Alligator mississippiensis: one gene and its partner. The protein of the gene in region 1 interacts with the protein of each later gene in a pairwise test. Links are inferred from orthologs where the notes say so. Each region holds a gene or a part of one and is shown in the gene's direction. Other genes may lie near its edges.

The links. The genes of interacting proteins can lie anywhere in the genome.
Region 2: the proteins of TFIP11 (region 1) and LCA5L interact in binary tests that used the Homo sapiens proteins (3 or more experiments, as listed by UniProt). The two-hybrid records come from large-scale screens. The link is inferred for Alligator mississippiensis from reciprocal best matches to the Homo sapiens genes TFIP11 and LCA5L.

Annotation. Positions count from the first base shown.
Region 1 is NC_081833.1:1,409,854-1,417,080, forward strand, and holds the start of TFIP11 (tuftelin-interacting protein 11), read left to right. Parts: upstream 1-4,216; 5' UTR 4,217-4,320; intron 4,321-4,499; 5' UTR 4,500-4,505; coding exon 4,506-4,702; intron 4,703-6,769; coding exon 6,770-6,926; intron 6,927-7,227. Other genes in the region: TPST2 (protein-tyrosine sulfotransferase 2), read left to right, coding at 1-275, 1,220-1,418, 1,798-1,848, 2,307-2,345. UniProt on the Homo sapiens protein: Involved in pre-mRNA splicing, specifically in spliceosome disassembly during late-stage splicing events. Intron turnover seems to proceed through reactions in two lariat-intron associated complexes termed Intron Large (IL) and Intron Small (IS).
Region 2 is NC_081824.1:296,694,392-296,702,038, reverse strand, and holds the start of LCA5L (lebercilin-like protein), read left to right. Parts: upstream 1-4,571; 5' UTR 4,572-4,678; coding exon 4,679-4,919; intron 4,920-7,096; coding exon 7,097-7,611; intron 7,612-7,647.

The DNA of each region.
Region 1 (7,227 bases):
CACTCCATGATCACGCGCAAGGTCACCATCGCCGGCTTCGACCTCAGCAGCTACCGGGACTGCCTGACCAAGTGGAACAAGGCCATCGAGGTCATGTACTCCCAGTGCCAGGAGATCGGGCGCTCCCGCTGCCTGCCCGTTTACTACGAGCAGCTGGTGCTGCACCCGGAGCAGTCCCTGCAGGCCATCATGCAGTTCCTGGGCATCGCCTGGAGCGATGCCATGCTGCACCACGAGGACCTGATCGGGAAGCCTGGCGGTGTCTCCCTGTCCAAGTGAGTCCCTGCAGCTAGAGATGAGGTTATGCCTGCACCCTTAGCAGGGGGCTGCCGTGACCTGGCTGTTGCAACCTGGCTGCAGCCAACTGGGAAGGGGAGGAGCCCGTCTCAATCATCCCCTGATTGTGAAATAAAGCATCTTGTGCACCCGAGTGCATGCATACACACACACACGCACGTGTGTGCATACGTGTGCACTCCCTCGCTGTGCTCCAGAGAGCTGCTGTCTGCAGCCGCTGGAACGCTCCCTCCCGCTGCGGGTTGTTAGTTCTCACCTGCTCCAGCCAGCACTGACCGTAGCCCGTGGGGACTGGCCGGGAGGTCTCTGCGCCTGTTCCCTTCTGGCTCTGGGCATCCAACATGGGCTGCACCTGTTCCCAGCGAAGCCTGCGCAGGGGTGCTTCCAAGCTTGGCATTTTTTAGCCCAACCAGGGTCCTCCCACCCGGCGCTGCATGGGCCACGACTCAAGCTGGTGATGCCTGAAGCAGCGTTTTTGGCGTGTTAGATATTTAGGGTGTGGTGTCCTCAGTCCCAATGGGCATGGTGCTGAATCCCTCCTGCGGGGTGGAGACAGAAAACCACTGAAAGGTTGCACGAACGATGGGCCCTAGGCAGGGATCGGAGGTCCCACCAAGCAGGGTGGGACGTGTGGCTCCTGCTCCCAGGGCTGGCCCAGCTCCAGGCCTGTAGCTGCGCTGCCATGTAGCCGGTCTGTAGTAAAGCCCTCCTGCGGGGCAAGCCTGGCTAGGGGCTGGGGCAGGGCAGCCCCCCATGAGATGCATCCATGTCCCTGAGCTCCGTCACGGCCTCTCGTGAAGCTTCAGGTCTCTTGTTTTTGAGCAAGTCCTCCCAGGGGATGCAGAGCCCACTAGTCTAGCAGGACACAGACCCCAGCCCGCTCCAGCATCCCGGTGAGTGAGTGCCTGACCTTTTCCCCCAGGATCGAGAGGTCCACGGACCAGGTCATCAAGCCTGTGAACTTGGAGGCGCTGTCCAAGTGGATCGGGCACATCCCAGGCGACGTGGTGCAGGACATGGCCCACATCGCGCCCATGCTGGCCAGGTTGGGCTACGACCCCTACGCCAACCCCCCCAACTACGGCAGCCCGGACCCCCTGGTGATCAACAACACGCACCGGGTGAGTGCGGGGTCCCCTGCGCGGGGTGGGGCGGGCTGCGGTCGGGCTTGGGGCCACGAAGGACTGGAGACAACAAGAGCCAGGTGAAAGGCTGAGACTTTAATGCGCTTTCCTAAGTCCCTGGGGGGAGAAGGGGTCTCGGCTGGCCAGGATCCAGGCAGCTGGGGGCAAACCCTGCATCTTGGCTGAACTAGCCCTGCCACCACGCCAGCTGTTGGCCTCGGGGACGCACTCCAGGTGCCCCGTGTTAAACTGCTGGTGCTCGTGTCTGGCGTGGGCGCCCAGGGATGAGCCGGGTGGTGACCGAGGCAGAGAGGGGCGGTGAGTAGCCCCCAGCCCAAGGCCACGGGGAGTCACTCCGGCTTTGCTTCTCTTGCAGGTCCTGAAGGGAGATTTCAAAGTGCCGGCTAATCTGAAAGGGCATCTGCAGGTAAGAGCCGGCGGCAACGAGAGCGCTGTGGGTGGGTGTGCCGCGCGCCGTGCAGGCAGCAGCTCCATGCTGGCAGCTGCTAGGAGAAGCCCCTTGTCAATCCTGCTTGCATCTCTTCCCCCTCTGCCACGCGGATTGCAGCCTCCCAACCCTCCGAATCCTTTTGCCGTGCCCAGCCTGCATGCTAACCCCGCTGCCACCCCTCCAGCACTGCCCTCGCTCGCAGCTCTGGGCTTGCCTTCGCGAGTCTGCATTCATCCCCCCCACCCTGCTGTCCCAAAACCTGTGCTGTGCCCACACGACCGTGCTGTGGTCAGGACCCGAGCTGGCACGGGGATCTCTGTGCGGTGCTGGTTCCTGCCCCGTGGACCACTGGCATCCCCTGGTTGTCTCGCTTTGTCGGTGCAGAGGGGCTGTCTGGGGCCGAGCTAACTCTCGTCTGTCTTGGGTTGTTCCAGGTGCCTCAGAACACGTCGGAGCCTCACTCGCTGACTTAATGATTTCCAGGTAAGGGGTTGTGCTCCGGGTGTAATTGTGCTTCCTCCCGGTGTGCAACATGCACTAAGATCTCTTCCCTGGGGGCACCTGCATGCTGCAGCCTTCAGAGACTTCAGCAACATTAGAAACGTCTTGCATGTGGGATTGATGGGGCTTGGGTCAGCACCAAGTAGGGAGAGGTGATGTCCAGGTCTTGGATCTCGCTAACAAGGTGCTTGAAGTAGCTGTGGGTTTGAAGAGTGGACCCCGCGGTCACTATGTTCAGCGTCTCATCCCTAACGCTTCGCGTCTCTTCTGTTTCAGGAGGCTGCACGTGGCCTTTCAGCGTCCAGCAGAGAAGACAGTTTGCAGTTGCAAAAGTGGAAATCTGTTATCCAAGCATATTGCTTGCTAATATTGCCAAAATAGGACTGCTACACAAGGAATGTATTTGCATTTATTTGCAAAGGCCAAACATGACACACATCGGATACCAGTTGTCTACCTTCTCTGAATGCTCTGTGGTAAAGAGGAAAATCCTGGGAGACGAGTTTCCTGGCTGGAACTTCAGAGCGCGTTGGAAAGAGATTCGCCCATTCGGTTACTTGAGGACTTTTTAAAGTTGTATTTAAAACTGTCTCGTCATTCTGTTCTTCTGTTTGCAAACCGGGAATAGGTGTCGATAACCTCGTAGAGCATTGGTCGTACAAGTGACAATCGGAGACCTGCCTTCTGTCGTTCCTTCACTTGTAATTTACAGAATCTATTTAAAAATTAATATATGAGGCCATCTGTTTCATTCCTGGCTCCGCTCCGTTCATTTCCTGCGGTGATTAAACACTGTTTCCAGACGAAAGGGCGTGTCATCATCGTTTGCGCTAATGATGCGAGGAAGGGCGTTCGCGGGCTGGAACGAAGGGCTGCGGACACGGGAAGGATGCGGGGCCCGTGGGTGCGTGGGAGGGCCTGGGGGCTCTGACATGGGTGGCAGACAGACCTGCCAGCCTGGGGCAGGTGCTTCAACCCCGCGGATGTGCCGTCGCTGACCCGAGGGGTGCAGTTCTCCAGCAGCAAGTGTTTAAATACCGATTTGAATGAGAAACGGTGGCATGAGGAATCCCTCCCTCCCCCTTCACAGTGCTGGGGAAGTGAGCTACAGCTGAAAGCTTGTGCTGTGTGCGTGTGTGTGTGCGGGCAGTCGTTTTGGGCGGAGGGCTGCTTACTGAGGCTTGGCAAGCCATCGAGGGCTGCACCGACAGGCAGCCAGGGAAGATAAAAAATTTAGAAAATCAATATTTAGGGGCCCGGCAGACCGTGTTTTGCCCACCCCGATACGTGTGTGTGCATATGCATAGTGTGTGTGGGTACATGCGTAATGTGTATGTGTACGCGATACATGTTTATGTGTGTGTGCATACGTAATCATAGTGTGCGTGCATGCATGTCATGTGTGCATGTATGTAATATGTGCATATGCATAATGTGCGTGTGTACACAATAGGGGTGTGTGTGTGCATGCATAATCATAGTGTGCATATGCATATAGTGTGTGTGTACATGCGTGTGCATGTATGCAGCGTGTGTACACGTCATGTCCGTGTGTTCATAATGAGTGTGTATACATGTGTAGGCTTAATTCATGTGTGAGTGTATACATCGTGCGTGCATACATACACCGGGTGGGTGTACATATGTGCATTTACCTGTGTGTGTAGATACATAATGCACGTGTGTGTGAAGTTAGAGAGAAAAAGTGTGTGTGTGTGTGGGGGGGGGGGTGCAGACCTCCCAGCCTCCACCCCACCCTCCCAACCATAGAGAAGTCCGCCGAGGCGGACAGCCGGCCGTGCCGCTCTGCCCCACCCCCTCACTCTATGCTCCGCGGCGCGGGCTTCCGGGCAGGCGCTGGCGCATGCGCTCGCGACCCCGGAAGGACATCCGGCCGCTTCCTGCTTCCGGTACAAGCTGTAGCTCCGCTTCCTGGTTCGGGGAGCGGTGAGTGCTGGGGGGGGGGCGGGTTTGGGGGAGAAGAGGTGAGTGGGGGAGGGGCTGGGGGAATGGGGTGGGGGGAAGGGCTGGGAAGGAAAAGGGGTCGGGGGGGCAGGAGTGGGGGTGCCTGCACCTGCCTCTCTGGCCCCCCCGCCACCAGCTCTGATGCCGGCGCGCCCCGGCAGGCCGCCATGTCCATGTCGCACCTGTACGGGCAGGATGAGGAGGGCGAGGTGGAGATGGAGAGCTTCGAGATCACGGACTGGGACCTGCAGAACGAGTTCAACCCCAACCGCCAGCGGCACCGGCAGACCAAGGAGGAGGCCACCTACGGCATCTGGGCCGAGCGCGACTCCGACGACGAGCGGCCCAGCTTCGGCGGCAAGCGGTACGGGCGGCTCCTCGCTGCTCGCGGGGTGACCGGAGCCGTCGTCTCCGAGCAGATCTTCGCTGGCCGCCGTCCACGGGCTCGACTCGTTTGGGGCCGGCGTGGTCTGCTTGGTGTTCCCTTCCCGATCCCTCGTTGTTAGCTCGTGACCGCGCTCCTTTCCTTGCTTGCTGCTTATTTGTCCCCCAAAGTCGGTTATGTTTCCAGTTGCCCCCGCTTTTAAGGGAGGTTTCTAGTGTTTCCTTGTGAGTGTAAGCCCGCACGTCCCCCACGGCGTAACAAACAGGGCCTTGTCAGGCAGCAGACGCTGAACGGGAGAGTGAACAGGGGAGGACCAGGGGTTTTTCCCTCCCTGTTCCTCTCCCCCCTGCAGCCGCCAGCATTTAAGGTCTAGGAAGGTCTGATTCAGGGGTTGTATCCCTCACTCCCATATTCAACAGCTACTGACGCCCCTTTCCTCCAGGAATGTCCCCCAGCCCGTTTTGAATTCGCTTCTGGTGGCGACAAGTTCCACGCTTCAGTGACATGTTGGGTGAAAACATTTTGTTTTGTTCTTTCTAAACTTAATGCCTACTCGTTTCATTTTGTGACCCCTAGCTTTTGTATCGTGAGAGAGAGTAGATAATAAATCCCCCTCCCCCTCTGCGCGACACTGGTCAGGCCGCAGCTGGAGTACTGCGTCCAGTTCTGGGCGCCGCACGTCAGGAGGGATGTGGACAGCATGGAGAGGGTCCAGAGGAGGCCACCCACATGATCCGGGGACAGCAGGGCAGGCCCTACAATGAGAGGCTATGGGACCTGAACCTGTTCAGCCTCCACAAGAGAAGGCTGAGGGGGGACCTGGTGACCGTCTGTAAACTCCCTAGGGGGGACCAGAAGAGTTTGGGGGAGACCTTGTTTCCCCGAGCGCCCCCCCGGGATAACAAGGAATAACGGCCACAAGTTGTTGGAGAGTAGGTTCAGATTAGACATCCGTAGGAACTACTTCACAGTCAGGGTGGCTAGGATCTGGAACCAACTTCCAAGGGAAGTGGTGCTGGCTCCTACCCTGGGGGGCTTTAAGAAGCAGCTCGATGCCTACCTGGCTGGGGTCACTTAAGCCCAGTTTCCCTCCTGCCCAGGCAGGGGTCGGACTCGAAGATCTACAAGGTCCCTTCCGACCTGACTTCTGTGATTCTATGAATCCCTATTGGCTTTCACTTTGGCATTTAGTTGTAAACCCTTGTCCTGTGCTCCCCTTTAGGGTTTCTCTTTCTAAACTGAACAGGCTTGGCCTCTTTAGTATCTCCTTACACAGAAGCCCCTCCATAGCTCTCAACATCCTTGCTGCCTGTGTCTGGACCTTTTCTAGTTTTTCTGCATCCTTTTGTGGTGTGGGGACCAGAACTGGGCGCAGCATTCAAGGTGCAGCATGGACTTATAAAGAGCATTCAACATGCACCATGGATTTATAAAGAGACATGATGATACTTTCAGTTCCGTTAATAATTCCCTTAATAAAGTAACTCCATCCTCTCCCTGCTGGCCTGAAAGGAACCGCGGGAGAGTTCTCTCGTCAGCCCCGGGGGTTCTGCGACTTAAGTCTTGTGTCACCACCAGGGAGCCATTGGCAACATGACACCTAGAGCGTAGTGCAGAAAGGTGCTCTCTCAAGCACGTAGAGGTGGTAAACGACGTGCTGGCTGTGGTTTGTGTAAGAGAAGGGAGGGATTGGAATCTCATACAGGGTTTTTCAAAAGCTACATAACCTGGGTTGTCCATACATGGTGTTCACTTCCCTCAGCAGTTGGCTTAGTGCCTAGGTAGAGTTTGGGATAGAGATGATTGTTTTTCAAGGCTGAAGTTTGCTAAAACAAAAAATGCGAGGTCCTTTTCAGAACGCAGATTTTCCTTCATAAATTCAAACTTCCTGCATTTCAAATACCGGCTTTGTAGCTCCATATCGTAACATTAAGAGGGAACTGCTTGCGAGGGTGTCTCTGACTGTGTTCCAGCTGCTGCCCCAGTGGAAGAGCTCTGACGCACGCAGTTCTAAAAATGCCTCTTTAACGTGATTTCCTTATACAGATCTCGAGACTACTCAGCCCCTGTCAATTTTATCAGCGCCGGGCTGCGAAAGCCTGCAGCAGAGGAGGAGGTGGAAGATGACTCGGACGAGGATGATGAGAAACCTATTAAGCAGGAAGAATTGCCCAAGGAGGTTGTACCAAAGAAGTTAAAAACGGTGAGTTATTCTTAAAATGAGCAACCCTGTTAAAGATGTTCGTGTAGCCCCCGTCACAGGAGCATCTAGGTGTTAGGATATTAAATCAGCAGATGAAAAAAAGAATGATGCTGTCATGCTGCCCACAGGTCTGTGATTTCATCCTCTGCTGTGGAGGCAGTTTCCCCTCACTTTTGTGCATTTGATGGGTTGATGGGCCTTCCTGGCCCTTGCAAGGTTTGCCCCTTTGTGAGTGTTCTTGCAGAGGAGATTGAAGTTATAACAAATTAAGGGGCTGCATTTTGTTTCCATCCTTTCAGCT
Region 2 (7,647 bases), on another chromosome or scaffold:
GAAAATCTCCCCCTACTCTTTGTTAGAGAGGAGCTATGTTTTCTTTGTGAAAATATTCCCTCCCTCTGAAGAGTGCAGGGTACTAGGTTTCCACCTGATGCTGTCTGATGGAGTGGAACTGCTTATTACTTAGCTTTTGGGAAACTTTCAGAAGGGAAATTACTTTACGAATGTAAAATTGTATCTTATCACTAAACTGAAAGGGCCAAATTAGCTTCTGGTATAAATGTGCTCGACACCATAGGTGAATTTGGCCTGAAGAATGCAGGTCTCAAGTCCGGACAGCATTTTTAATACATGTGTAACTGTTTTAAGGAAGACCTCAGAGTCTAATCCTGTAACACATGCAAAAATAATGTTCATTACCACTGACTTTAACAGGGAAATGTTCGCAGTAGTAAGCAATCTGATTAGTAGTAAATTGTTAGCCTAATTTATCCACTGTCCAGTTTTAAAGATGCTGTGGTCTGTTGTGTGAACAATAATTTAGATCCTTAACAGAAGTCCCCCCCCCAAATTTGCGAAAAGCACTGAAATAGCTATTTTAAACCACTCTAAATATTTCTCGGTCCATTCTTCTCTGAGATGGAAGCAAGAGACAGTCAAGAAATGAAAGAAGTCAGATTGCTTTAAATACATTTCAATGGGTAAATTGCTCCAACACTAAATTTGTAACTGAGTCAAACATTGTACTTCATGCTAAACTTTGTTATACAAGCTTTTATCCAGTAGAACATTTTATTTTTTCACTTACCAGTAATTCAACCTGAATAACTTTAGCCATTTTAGAACTATCATTATTATTATTTACTAATTTGTCTTCCTTTCTACAAAATGTTTTGAAGAACTGGAAATCAGAGGCCCACTCCTTTAACTGTTTATTAAAAGGCACAGTGTGTTATAAATACTAAACAGTAGTAAACATGTGCAGGATCCAGCCCTGAAAGCATCTATGGCACCATGCAGGATGCAGATGAAACACGATGAACAATAGCACATTAGTCATTTGTATTATAGAAATAATAGAAAAGTAGGGTTGGAAGGGACTGCCAGAGGTCATCTAGTCCAACCCCCTATCTGATGTAAGATCACCTTATTTGTATCCATGATCTAACCCATTGGTGCTCAACCTTTTTGCCCTGTGGCCTCAGTGGGTCCGTGGGCAGGATTGTGCCAGTGGGCCCAATATGGTGTGCAGCAAGTCCTGATCAGGCTGTGTGGAGGGAGGCAGAGGGCAGCCCATCCCCATCCGGGTATGTAGAAGAAGGGGTTGGCTCAGTCCCGAAATGGCTGAGGGAGCAGGGAATGTGGCCTAACTCTAACCCAGCTACACAGAGCTTGGGAATAGGGCAGTAAAGGGGGGGTGGCAGTATTAATTGCCACTAATCCCCCACTGCCATATTTTCTGACCCGGGAGAGCCCTGTGGGCTGGACACCACAGCTCCACGGGCTGCATTTGGCCTGCAGGCCAGGGATTGAGCACCTCTGGTCTAACCTACTGACAAAACTACATGGTAAGAAGAGCATGACCCTAGAGCGCCTCAGCCAGGCTGGAGGCTCTGCTCAGAAAGTGCCAACTTGGGAGTTTTCACCTTTTTTTCACTATGGAAAAACAACACGGTGAATCTTCTGGTGCAAAGAACTCAGAACTACAAGACAGAACGGTTTAACACGGGGGTGCCCAAACCCCAGCCTGCGGGACAGATCTGGCCCCTGGCGCCAGGCTGTCTAGCCTGTGGGGAACTGCATGAACTGTGGCCTGTGTGCATGCACACAGCGCAGCCTGGGCCCTGATACTGGCACATGGGGCCAAATAGGGGCGGTATTGGGCCCAATCGTGGTACCAGGAGGCCAACCCAGCAAGTGCACCAGCCTGGCCTCATTCTGTTGGCCCAAAACACTGAGCCCCCTCCTTCATTTCATGGCATGGCTTCCTATAGGAAAGCTTATCCTATGAATCATGTTTGTGCATGGTTGTGACATCGTACAGCAGAGGTGGCAGCACCAGGGCAGTGAGACAGGGGCAACTGACATGAAGGGGGGGGGGCAAATAAACTCAAGGGACTGCTGCTGTGATTGCATAAGCACCACTTCTGCTTTGCCCCAGGGCTCCCAGCTGCTGTCCCTGCGCAGCTGCACCCTGCAAGCGCTCCCAAGGCACCCTGAAGTGCCACAGCCCCCTGGCTGAGAAGCAAGAGTCTATGCCTCAAACCCCCATATGGGGGGGGACACCAAGCTGGGACAACAGCTAGGGAGCGGCGCGCACACCGGACACGTTCCGGGTCCCATCTCTGCCACAGCAAGGCGCGCAACCACGTTTCCCTGTTGAGGCGAGTTCCAGCACGCTGGAGGGGGGGGGGGGAAGCATCGCTGCATGCGATTGGCTGACACCCGTGACGTCACCGCCTCCAAGCGAGAGGGGGCGGGGCGGAACAGGAGGGAACCACCCCGGAGTTCCCCCTCCCCACTCGCCATCAGCGCGGGACTACAAGTCCCAGGATACTCCGCGCCAGCCCAGCGGCTGGTTCCCATAGCAAGGGAACAGCGGCGGCGCTCAGACAACGGCCAAAGGCGGCGCGCGGGGTAACCGATGCTTCGAGGCAGGGGGTACGAGGGGACGCCCCATTTGCTGCAGTGGGGAGGGGGAGGGAAAGGGTGATGAGGGGAACTGCCACGAGCCCCCGCCCATACATTCCCGCCCCCCTCTTCCGGGGTCTCTGGGGCTGGAGGGAGCACGTCCGCCATTTTTGTTGCGTCCTCTTTCTGCGCATGCTCACAAAAGCTTCACTGCAGGCCCTGCAGGGTCATAGTTGAATTGGGGGTCCTGCGTGGCTATTGAGGGGGGGGGGGCTGTGCCAGCCCCTGCTGGGGTCCAGGGACGCGGACACGAGCAGGCAAACCGATATCTTTGGGTCAAGTTGATATCTTTTATTTAGACCAACTCAGATAGTCGGAAAATGTCTTCTTCGTAAGCTTTGGAGCACAACCCCACTTTGTCAGGCAGTGTGTGCTGTTGCTTTTGGTATTGTGTGAGGAAGAAAGACTGTTGGGGGAAACACTATTAGGTGAAGGTTGCTGTTTTCTGAAAAACTCCAGAAAGGTCATTTTCTTTGAAAATGGGGGAGGTGGGGGGAAGATGACACTAATGGACAGAAGTTTAGCACTGGAAGGGACCTTGTGAGATCATCGGGTCCAGCCCCCCTGCTCTGGGGAGGAAAGTCTGCTGGGGCCAATAACCGTTGATCCTGGTTTTCCCCTTTTCAAATGAAACAGCTACTTCTGCAAACGTGGGGGAACAAGAGCTTAGGGATCAGTCAAATCCTCATTAATCTGCAAATGTTTTAGTTTGGTGGAATAATTTATCCTCACTGGTTGTGTCTACATGAGGTGCTGACTGCAGTAGCTTGTTGCTGCATAGTTACTCATTACTGCTGCGCAGTAGTGTTGCTGAATGGCTTTTTGGTGACACTGACTTGTACAATAGCTCGTTACGACTGCACTAGCATTGCATGGCATGAAGCGTGACGCAATGCTACTGTGTAGTCATAATGAGCTATTATGCAGTCAGCATCACCAAAAAGCCATTTGGGGATGCAACTGCGCAGCCATTTAGTTCTTACATATGCTAGTATTAAATGACTGCTTAGTAACAACTGTGCGCTCAGAGTCTTGTTCAGATGCTGCCACTATCCCCTCCTTTTCTGTAACGACCCAGTTGATCAAATTTAACAGATACAGATTGGACAAGTGAAAGCCACATCTCTTACCAACGCATTACACTAAAGATGTTCAGGTGCTTAAGTGGCTTTTCAAAAGCAGTCAAGCATATTATGTACTGTTAAATGATTCCTGGCTGGCAATATGACAGCTTTCATCCCAAAAGGAAATATTTTATATGCTTATTAGAATCTCTAATATAGATGCACTTGTATAATAACAGTAACTCTGCACGCAGCCTACTACATAAATACATATGTAAGGCAAAACAGTGTTCAGTTATAATTCATTACTTAGTTCATGTTGGGGATCAAGGATGAAAAAAAGGAAGTAAATTGACATGGATGGAGTCCAGATGGAGTTCTATAACATGGATGGAGCGTTAGGAATGTATATAAAAAGATGCAGAAATGCCCATTAAGAGACCAGTTCCTGGATGACATCTACCTAGGCTGTATAAAACATTTATTTAATTGTATTGTACTAGTTTCAGTGAATTTTTCATCAATGCCCAGGTCAACATAACTACCTCTTCTAAATTCTATTAAGCAGTAAACAAACAACTACACTGATAGTATATTAGCATACAAGGAAACTGCAACTATGGTATTTATTAACATGCATTAAGGGATGTTCATCCACCGAGAACATATACATTCTTAAATAACAAAGATTATATTTAACATCTCTCTAGGGCGCTAAATGTTTGCCTTCTTTCAGATACTGAAACTGGCTATTTTTATTGGATTAAAGAATAAATAATGTGCATTAAAGAGGTTAATAAATGCCATGTTTTTCCCCCCTCAAGTTTTGTGTATAAGTGATCAACATTTTGATTCTGGTAGGTCAATTCCAATGTCTTCTACTGACAACACACTGATGAACTCAGGTGACTGTTTCCTCCGTATGTTAGTGCAAGAAGACACTAATTCAGGAAGCAGCACAAGAAGCAGAGGCACTAATGATTGTATTAGGGAAAGCATCAGAACAGGTTGTTCTGGCAGAATTAATGACTATTGCCAATGCAGCAGAGAATATGGAAGTCAGTCAACATTTTCATGTGAACTATTCTGAGGACTTTTTCTCTGACTGTACAGAATCAGCCAGCAGCAACAGTTCTTTAAAAATGCCAAGAACCAAAGAGAAGAAGCTACAGAAAAAGAAAAAAAACAAATATGGTCGACAAGGTTATCAAATCAAAGGTAACAAGAAAACTGCTTTTTTTTTTTTACCAATAGCCAAATAATATAAGAGTGGAACTATTTTCATTCATTGGCAGTTTTTATGGTGATTAGAGCCTGAAAGGAGCTGGTTTTCTTACCTTGCAAAAATTTTTGAGTTTTCAAAAATAGGAAGAGGAAAGAGGGGATTGATACTTCAAGATAGACTTTAATTCAGTGGTTAAAACTCCTGCATGGGTTGTGGAAGACCTGGGTTCAAGTCCTGACTAAAATCATGGACTTGAAACAGCATCTTACATTCCAGCTGAGTGCCCCAACCGCTACACTCTTTCTGGTTTTGACCAGAAATTCCAGCTTGGGTCTTTATTAATAAACAGACAGCAAAAAACGCATAATACAAAGTTATAAAATGAAAATAATAAATACGTTAATAAAACTCAACAGAGAAGCCATGGAATTAAAAGACACAAGCTGGCTTAACTTGATCAGTTATTTGCTGCTGTGTCCCATCCATAATTTTCATTTAAATGCATTCTACCTGCTAGTTTAATAGGCATGCTTAACTGTATCTATCCCTTATATCCCATGGGGTTTGAGTCACAGAATTTGTCTGCCTATTTTTCTTGCAAATGGCAAGGACATTTTGAATTGTATATATATTATAAGAATAACCATTTAGTGGAGTGCTGCCTGGAATGCTTTAGAACTGTTAAGAAATCGAATGTTTTGATACAAGTGAAGTAAATAGTAAGGCTGTAAATAGGCACAGAATTTGTCCTGGGATCTTACAGACATACAAGTCCACTGTCCCAGACCGAGTCTCTCTGAAAGATAAAAATGTGTTAATGCTTTTTCCAAGGATGTGGCTCTGTGCATCTGTAGGGTAATTCCAGGGAAAAGTGTGCTCTTGTTCTCTACCTACTGGCAGAGGAACAGCAATGCATGTTGGAAGGGCAAGGTATGTAAATGATTGAGCCTCATCTGTTCTGATCTGGGTCAGACAATCAGACTTGCCTCTAATACAGTGGTTCTCAATCTTTTTAGATTCAAGGGACCCCTCCATAACTTTTATGAACGGAGTGGCATCCCCTTTCCAAAACCAATTGATTACAGTGTTTACCCCCTTGCAGAGGCTTCAGACAGTGGGGGCAAGGAAGCCAAGGGAGGGAGAGCCTTAGCCTGCCCTTTTTTTGCTTATCTCCTCACATTTCCCATGGCTCCCTTCAAAGGATCTAGGGAATCCAAAGGTTCCCCAGCATCCTGGTTGAGAATCACTACTCTAGTAAGGCATCTGTTTATAGCCTAAGACTTATAAATCTCTGTCTAGTTCAGTTTTACTTTGTGAAAGGACAACGAAGTAAGCAGTGGTAATTTAGAATGTCAAGTGATCAAGAATATTTAGCAAATGCAGTACGTGGCAAGGAAAGCTATATAACTAATCTGAATGCTTGATGATTGAAAAAACACTATATGTGTATTTGTAGACTTTTATTTATCATTTTTAAAAATGGTTTGAAAGTGCTAGAATTGGTTAGGTGGTAACTAGATGCAGAGTTGTTGAAATACATATTATTGCCATAACTTTATTTTTCTGAGTTTTTGCAGGTACAGTAAATTGACATTTTCTTCCTTCTCTATAATGCATTGAATTTTCATAATCAACTGTTTGATCTAGTTTCACTGGAGTTAATGGGAGTCTTTTCAAAAAGGTCAGATCAGACCTATATATACATCTGATTCTCAGATTAAGGGCACATTGATTCCACTGAATGACTGAGAGAGAAACTTAGTTTCAGTTGGCTTTGGAGATGCTTTTGTAAGGACATCGTACCAGTTGATTCATAGAGTGCTTTTGTTTGCCTCAAAAGAAGCTCTTATATATTCTCATTACTAAAATAAAAGACTATGGCTAAGTAGAACAAAGATGGTCTAACAGAATAAGTAGGTGAGGAAACATTTCGACTTGATATGGACTTGACTTTAGTTGTGGCCAAGTGTAATCAGGAAAAATCCCTGCTCTGGGGGTATCTGGATGAAATAGGTGAATAGAGGAATTGTGGTATGGATTATAGGCAATTTGTCATATACACTACATTTAAAAATCTTGGGATAACCAGTTATAAGAATAGTAAAGTTACGCCTTATGCACCCTTAAATAATATATGTATCACGATTTATCTGTTTTGGTCTGAATGTAGGAAGCAAGAAATTGCCACTTAAGAAGATGCGGCACCAGAACACTTCATTCTTAAGCAATCAGAATACCACAGTCTCTCAGAAAAAAGATGTTCTGGCTCAACGCATATTTTCAGCAAGACTTCACAAAACTAAAGAACTGAAAAATGAACTGTCAGATCTCCAGCATAAACTAGAAGCTTCAAATGTAGAAAATCAGCTTCTGAAACAGCTTCAATATCGGCACTTGAAAGCAATAGGTAAATATGAAAATGCAGAGAATAACTTGCCTAATCTTATAGCAAGACATTATCATGAGGTAAGAAGTCTAAGGGAACTCCTTAGGAAGTCTCAGGAGCAGGAGCGAAAAACATTGAGGAAGCTTAGAAAAGTTGAAGCAGAACTGTTAAGGACTAAAGATGCTTTGCAAACATTGCATAAAATTTCAGAAGACAAGAATCTCGCAGAGAGAGGGGAACTTACTCGCAGATTATCAGTCCTTACAGAAAAAATGGAAGCCAGTGATAAAAAAATACAGGTAATATGCAACATATATTTGTATTTTTTAGTACTA